Linked DNA regions of Alligator mississippiensis. The protein of the gene in region 2 interacts with the protein of the main gene of each other region in a pairwise test. Links are inferred from orthologs where the notes say so. Each region holds a gene or a part of one and is shown on either strand. Other genes may lie near its edges. The genes, in order: NR0B2 and RXRA.

The links.
Region 1: the proteins of RXRA (region 2) and NR0B2 interact in a two-hybrid assay, tested with the Homo sapiens proteins (2 studies listed by BioGRID and IntAct). The link is inferred for Alligator mississippiensis from reciprocal best matches to the Homo sapiens genes RXRA and NR0B2.

What each region holds. Positions count from the first base shown.
Region 1 is NC_081829.1:2,777,326-2,781,233, reverse strand, and holds the start of NR0B2 (nuclear receptor subfamily 0 group B member 2), read right to left. Parts: upstream 2,710-3,908; 5' UTR 2,622-2,709; intron 2,616-2,621; exon of another isoform or gene 1,623-2,615; 5' UTR 895-1,622; coding exon 375-894; intron 1-374. Other genes in the region: nuclear migration protein nudC, read left to right, coding at 3,416-3,511. UniProt on the Homo sapiens protein: Transcriptional regulator that acts as a negative regulator of receptor-dependent signaling pathways. Specifically inhibits transactivation of the nuclear receptor with which it interacts.
Region 2 is NC_081835.1:61,932,705-61,936,612, reverse strand, and holds the start of RXRA (retinoic acid receptor RXR-alpha), read right to left. Parts: upstream 2,366-3,908; coding exon 2,156-2,365; intron 1-2,155. UniProt on the Homo sapiens protein: Receptor for retinoic acid that acts as a transcription factor.

The DNA.
Region 1 (3,908 bases), on a different chromosome or scaffold from region 2:
ATTGTGCCCTGGGATCTTTACTGTCTACGGTCTTATTCAAAATATTTCCCCAAAGCATATGGCAAGGGACTGATTTCCAGAAGTCAGTGGGAATTAAGGATGCTTAGCACCTCTGAAATTAGCCTCTACAACAGTCTGGGCCTCGGTCTACCTGTCTGTAAAATGGGGCTACTCTTCCTACTTTTGAGCTACTGGAATGAAAAGTGTGAAATGTTAACATTATGGATTAATGACATTAAGATAATCCTCCCCATTGCTCACGTGTGTATGTGCGTGCGTGCGCGCACACACACACACACACGTACACGCGTGCTTTCAAGCAGCCCAGACCAGATTCTCTGTGTAGTACCCTCTGCCCTGCTGAGAGCACTCACCAGGGTTGAAAAGAATGGCTCCTTTCAGGTAGGCATACTCCTTAGGGCTCAGGTCCAGGCTCCAGAACGTGTTCAGGCAGCACTGCAGCCGCTGCACCCCGGCTAGGGTGGGTTGTGTCCTCTCAAGCTCCTGCCTCTTGCTCTGGCCATTGAGGAGAATGTTCTTGAGCATGCTGGGGGCCGGGGTCTCCATCACGTCGAATGTCACCATCTCTTGAACCAACCCCAGAATGAAGAGAGGAGCCCAGCAACTGTCCAGCAGGAGGAGCTGGTCCTCCCGGGGCAGCAGCTGGAAGGAGGGCAGGTTCTTCATGAAGCTGACTGTTTTCACCAGGACATCAGAGGCCGCCTGGCAGGTGACCTGGGGTGTCTGGAGGCAGACGGTGCGACGCTTCTGGCACCGGCAGCGCTGCTGGGATGGGCTATGATTGTGGTTCAGGTTTTGGCTCAGGAGGGTATAGAGGATGGCGTTCCGGTTCTCTTCGCTGTGGCACTGGCATCTCTCATAGTCCACGTCCATGCTGCCTGCACTCAGAGCTCTGCCCACCAAGCAGATCCCACTGACTCTGAAGGAGGAGGTGATCTGGGTGCACTTGACAGGCTGAGTCTGTGAGCACAACCGCGAACTCCTGTGCCCGTCAAAGCTCTCCGACTGCAGCCTCTTCCACTGAGCTCAGCTGCCTCAACCCTCTGGCTGCTACGCTCAGTGGTATTTATAAGGCGCTGGCGGTGAGTGGAACACCCCCTTCCACCCTTGACCTCTCTTTGACAAAGCAGCATTCATTAAAAAACAAGTTGACTCTCGCCTGATTGGCTGGGGAAGCGAGTTCTTCATGTGGCGTCAAGAAGTGTTTTCTCAATGAAAGTGCCAGCCAGGGCCAGGAGGACGGGACAGAATGGCAGGCTGGGCAGCTGGCTTATCTCGGTTGTCCAAACAGGATAAACAATGTCGATAACCCAGCCTGTACCATGGTACCAAGGCCCCGATGCGTAATCAGGCAGTACTGTATGACAGGTGTCATTGCCAAGGAGCGCGCACATGCACACACAGCACTTGTCTGGAGCAGGAGCCCGGTGGCAAACAACCTGTAGGCTCTGGCCTTGGAAAGAGCAACCTGGAAGTCATGTTATCAGCAGGTTGTTTGTCTAACCTTGTTGACAGCAGGCTGCTGTCGTTACAGATAACGAAAAGAAACCCAACGGACTGAGGGCATCTGGTTCTCGGATCAAGGCTGGGACCTGGGGTACCTGGTGTCAGAAAAACACGGGGGGGTTTGAGAATCAGATTTCATTAAACCAACATCTCGAGAGAGCCTCTCCCTTCCCTTCTCTTGGTGGTGGATGGTTCCTTCTCGGCCTGGAGGGAGGTGGGCAGTGGGGTCCCGCAGGGTTCGGTCCTCAGACCGGTATTATTTAATATCTTCATCAGCGATTTGGATGAGGGCGTGGAGAGCACCCTCTCCAAGTTTGCTGATGATACCAAGTTATGGGGCAAAGTTAGTACACCGGAGGGGAGGGAGCAGATTCAGGCTGACCTGGACAGGTTGGAGCAATGGGCAGAGAGAAATAGGATGCAATTTAATAAAAATAAATGTAAGGTGCTCCACCTGGGAAGGAGGAACCCCCAGCACACCTGTAGGTTGGGGAGTGTCCTTCTCAGCAGCTCGGAGGCAGAGAGGGATCTTGGAGTCGTAATCGACTCCAAGATGAACGTGAGCCGGCAGTGTAACGAGGCCATCCACAAGGCCAGTCGCACCTTGTCGTGCATTAGCAGGTGCATGACTGACAGATCAAAGGAGGTGACGCTCCCCCTCTACGTGGCACTGGTCAGGCAGCAGTTGCAGTGCTGTGTCCAGTTTTGGGCGCCGCACTTCAGGAGGGACGCGGGGAATCTGGAGAGATCGAGAGGAGGCCACTCGCATGATTCGTGGCCTTCGGGAAAGACCCTACGGGGGAGGTCGAGAGAGCTGAATCTCTTCAGCCTTCACAAGGGACAGCTGAGGGGAGACCTTGTGGCCGCCTATAAATTTATTAGGAGAGGTCAACAGGGGATAGGGGAAGCGCTGTTTACTAGGGCGCCCCAGGGAGTGACTAGGAATAAGGGGTGTAAACTAGTTGAGAGTGGATTTAGGTTAGATATTAGGAAGACATTTTTCACAGTCAGGGTGGCCAGGATCTGGAACGGGATCCCAAGAGAGGTGGTGCTATCACCTAGCTTGGAGATCTTCACGAGGAGGATATAGTCACCTGGCTAGGGTCGTCTGCCCTCGGCCCTCTTTCCTGCCAGGGGCAGGGGTCGGACGTGATGATCCACTGTGGTCCCTTCCGACTCTGCAATCTATGAATCTATGGAACACGGGGGGGACACGGGACTGAGTCCGTGGCTCCCAGCCCCGCTGCCTGCAGCCCGTCTCCATCCTCTCCGTGCGTCGCCTTTCAGGTAGTTGAAGCCGCCATCGAATCCCGCTTCAGCCTTCTCTTCTGCCGGCCCACTGCTTTCAGCTGCTCTGGGCCGTGGCGTTCGCGTCGCAATGCGCCGCACCCCGCCGGATCTATCCCGCGCCGTCTTCTTGCGCTGCGGAGCCGCCCAGGCGGGAGAGCAAGGGAGGAATTGTGTGGGAGAAGGTGGGGGGGGTCCTTCCCCTCCCCACAACCCTGCGCTGCTAGGGGTGACCTCTCCCTCTGTGACCCCTGACCTCCAGGCAAGGCTGTGACCCCATCACTCGTGTCACCCCCTTCCCCCACGAATCCTTTCAACCATCCCTTTAAAGGCCTAACCCAGCCGCGACCCCTGCCCTCCGACGCCCAACGGGCCACGCGGAGCCTTCTGGAAGGCGCGAGACGGCGCCGGTCTCTATAGCAACCAGCGCCGCGCGCCTGTGCCGCGCTAAGCGCCCGCCCTCCTCCCCCCCCCGTCTGCGGATTGGGCGCGGCGGCGGCCAATCAACGAGGGGTCGCGGGAGGAATGCGGCGCGTTGATTGGTGGGGGAGCCCGTTTCCGCTTCCGGGCGAGGGGTCGCGGGCAGCGGTTGCGGGTCGCCATGGGGCTGAGCGCGGAGGAGGTAGCGGAGCAGGAGGACCGCTTCGATGGCATGCTCCTGGCCATGGCGCAGCAGCACCCGGGCGGCGTGCGGGAGGTAGCGCCGGGCGGCCGGGGGGCGGGGGTCTTCCTCTTCCTCCTGCAGCCTCTAGGCCGTGCCCCTCGCCTCGGCGCCTGATGCCCCTTTCCGCCCGTACTTAACCTCGACTCCCCTTGCTGCAGCGGGAGCCCCCCGCTCCTTGCGCGTGTGCGGACAGTCCGGCTTCGCGCCCGTCGTGGGACGAGCGCCGGCGTGTCTCGAGGGGACTTGCTGGTTTTGCCAGCTGCTTCTACAGGCGTCGAGTGACGCAGTCTCAGCCCCGCCGCCGCCGCCAAACACGTCGTTTTCACGGGCTCTCAGAAGCACGAAGCACCGACTCCGGCGGAGCGAGTAAAGCAGAGGCTCCCGACCGCTAGGTCGCGGCGGGTCGGCTGCCGCGCTGGAGGTCCGGAAG
Region 2 (3,908 bases):
GGGAACTCCCTCCCTCTCAAGCTGGCTCAGGTAGATCCTTCCCGCCACTGCCAGGATAGGGGCCTAATGCTTGCAGACAGGGGACAGATGGAAAAACCCAGTAGACTGAAAATGTCCTAAATGTCTCCTCCAGGAAAACCACTTAAGATCGAGCATGAGCAAATGACAGGGACCGTCGGGGCCCAGCGATGCCGTGGCACTCAGTCTCCATTAGGCTCGATTCCTCTTTTCCTTCTGGTGCCTGTTTATTTCGGTTCCCCTGGCCGTGTGTCTCGGCTTCCCAAAATAGCCACGGCTTTGCACTGAAACCCTGCCCGCGTCGGCCCGCTCGCTGCTCGTGCATTCCCGCAGCTTCACATCTTCCCCCAGCCTTGGCTTTGCTCTCATGGCACTATCTGGGCGGTGGCTGGCTCCAAAGCAATATTTGCCTCTATTCCTCCTGGTTTCCAGGAGCGTAGCAGCCTGTCTGCCCCGCTGAGCCCAGGGTTAACTCCATGCTGGGGGCAGGAATATGTCTGGGTTCACATGGCATTGGACTTGAACTCTGGAATAGGCAGGGGGGGAGATGGGGAGATGCAAGGATGCAGGAGAAAGGGAGCATGGCAAGCACCCTGGTGATTTCACAGCCTCACTATGCCCCATCGGGCCCAGCCATGGTCCCTGAATAGAGGCAACTGGTTTTCCTCCAGCACCCTGGTACTGCTCAACCTGGTCCCGTGCCATTGCAATGACCCAGTAGAAACAACTCAGATTGATTTAGGATGGGCTCTGCCGAGGGACCCCTTGCCCACTCCTATTGCCCCACATTATCCGCCCTCCCAGGCACGCACAAAATGTCCCCTAGTGTGTTAGCCCTAGAAATAAATCAGGCTAATACAAAAATAAAGGCGCCGGCAGGTGTTTGACTCCCAGAGAAGCTCTGAAATAAATAAACCAGCAGCGAGCGGCAGGTGGGAGCCAATTCCTTAATCTGCCCTTTCGCTAAACATGTACCCCGTAGCCAGCCAGCAACAGGTGGCAGGGCCCCGCCAGCCCTCCCAGCGCCTGCTATTTTTAAAACAGGCTTATCTCTTTATAGCTGGAGGTTTTTACATAATCTTCAATCGGCAGAGCCCAGCCCCTCCTCCACATCGCTCTCTCCTGCGGAGAAAAGGGAAGCAAGTGCAGCCGGGGAGCAAAGGGGGAAGCAGCGTAAAACGGCCATGAGCAGGGCAGAACAAAGTCCTGGAGAAGACCCCTGGCCTAAAGAAAGGTCCCCTGGCCATCTTACCACCATCGGAAAGGAGCTTACAATGCAGCACAGGGAGTACTGTACTACATGCAACCCATATTTTACCTGGGCCATAGGGCTTACTGCAGCAAAGGCGCAGTTTAGAGCAGCCTGGGGGCTGCTCCGGTTTGTACCAGGACAGAGAAGACCCTCAGCTTATCCCAGAATACAGAGTCATCTTTTCTCCTCTCCCCTGCTTCTTTGCTGCCCAAAGACAGGAAGCCCAGCAAAGCAGCCTGTGTCCGTGACCCTTTGAAGTGAAGCCCACCATTATAGACGGGGTCTGATCCTCCTCTCGTTTAAACAGGGAGTAACTCCACTGAAGTCCTGGGCCTTCCAGCAAGCAGAACGCAGAGGAAAGCCAGGCCGCCTGGTTTTTAATTCAGTCTCCTGTTGCCGCCTTGGTTCATTAGAGTCCTCCCAAAATTCGGGCGTGGAGCTGGGGTGTGACACAGCTGACTGCACACTTGTTACTGTGCAACTCGCACTCACAAGTACTAACTGACTGCACAGGAACTGGCCTACTGCACGGTGGCGTCCCCAAACAGCTTTTCGGTGATGCTGACTGCACATGAGCTCGTTACTACTGCACAATAAGTGTCTCTCTTTGTGCCACGTGATGCTACTGCACAGCAGTAACAAGCTCCTGCGCAGTCAGCGTCCCGTGTAGATGCAACCCCAAGGAGCTTTTACTAATGCTTGCAAGGACCTGAGAAAGGGATACCACTGGCATGGTATCGGGTCTCGCCACCCCTCCAGTTTTGCGGGTGGAGGTAAGATCGCTGCTCCTTTCCCTGAAAGAAACCTGCTGACCATTCCTGGGTTTTTTCCCCCTCTTGCTTATACATAAATCTTGTCTCCCCTGCCTTCCCTTTGCCGGCTTACCTGTGGGCTGCCGGTTCCAAACCCCAGGTTGGGGGTGGAGGGGACTGACATAGAGTGAGGTCCCATGGGGGAGCTGATGACGGAGAAAGGAGGGCCCATGCCATTGATGGGGGAGCTGAGGGTGCTAATGGGGGAGTGGAGCTGGCCCGCTGAGCCCAGCGGGGAGCCGATCCCCGGTCCGATGGATGGATGGAGGGAAGGTGCAGCCATGGGCCCCCGGCTGGTCGGGGAGTTCAGGGAGGTGGAATTGACTTGGTTGGAGAAATCTGCAAGACACAAAGCAAACGCCAGGGTTAAAACCCCCTCCACGATGGTCCAACGATGGCACTAAGGTGCCAGCCCCCATCCCCACTCCACTCCCCACACTCAGCCACCCCCAGCTTCCTCTCTCAGCACCTTCTCCAGTGCAAAAGTCAGTGCAGCCCCTACATCAGGCACCTTCCACCCCAGCTTGATATGGCATCAACTCTTAAAAGCCTCTGACAACGGCTGGGCAACTGGGAGAGCTGCATATGGCACAGTTATCACACCCATCTCCTTGTTCATGTGTGTACAGCCCCTAGCACAAGTCTGCTCCACGTCTGAGGCCTCTAGATGCCACCTTCCTAAGACGGAAAATAATCAGGACTTGATACGGGATCTTGAACCTAGGATGTGCTTCTGGATCTCTGTGTGGGGGTCTGAGTATAGTCCACGTGGGTTGCAGACTGTGTGGGCACGTTCACATGCGTGCTTGAGAGTGGCAGGGTGCATTTCTGCACCCCCGCAAAGGGAGAACGTGCGTTGTGTGTTTTACGCTTGCAGAGGGAAGCATTTGAGTGTCTTTGAGGGGGAGGTGAGGTGTTTGCAATCGGGAAAGAGCATCCCAGCTTGTGGTTTGTGTCCATGTGTCTGCCTGGGATGCATGTGCCTGCAGTGTATATTTGCAAAGGGAAAGCAGGGGGAGGAAGACGGGGGGTTGTGAGTGTTTCCCAAGTTGCGTGCATTATTTTTTGCAAGTGGGGAACTGTGTGTGTGTGTGTGTGTGTGTGTTCATGGCGAAGGGTACACGTGTGTGGGTTTGTGAGGAGGCAGCTGTGTGTCCACACTGGCTCCGGGGACAGAAGGATGCCCCGCTCCCTCTGCCTTGCTTCACGCGGCTTCAGGCCTCCGAACTGGAATTTGCTTTTGCGGAGGTGTTTTTTTGCAAGCGGCGACCGCCAGGCTGCGAACCTCCCGCCTGCCCCCCTAACTCCTTTGCAGGCCCAGGGTCGGGGGGGAGCAGGAGTTTAAAAATAGACTCCAGCTCTCTCTAGAGAGGAGACTCGGAGTCATTCCTGGCACATTTCCTCCTCATCCTGTCACGCTGCCTGAAAAACAACCCAAAGCACCGGGGAAGCAGGCTTCTATAATGGGCCTTTGCAAAGGCTGCCAAGAGGAATGGCAAGACTTTGGGGGCTCCAGGCTGCAGGGGAGGGCTTCGCCTGCCCCCATTCAGAGCTGTGCCGGGGTGGTGACAATTAAGGGGTCCTGACGCTTGTTCTCTCTCTCCTCGGTGCGTCCCACTGCTGTTGTCCCACTTTTGCAGCTGGCAAATCAGAGGCCTGAAATTCAGAAGTGACTATAGGCTGGCGGAGCCAGACCCATTTTGCAGGGCTTTGAAGTTAGCGGGGTCTTTCGGAAGGTGGCTTGCCTGAGGGTCGATGCACCGAACCCAGCAGCTCTCCGCCAGGCCCATATTCCCCTCTCCCCATAATACCTGCTCCATCGGGTT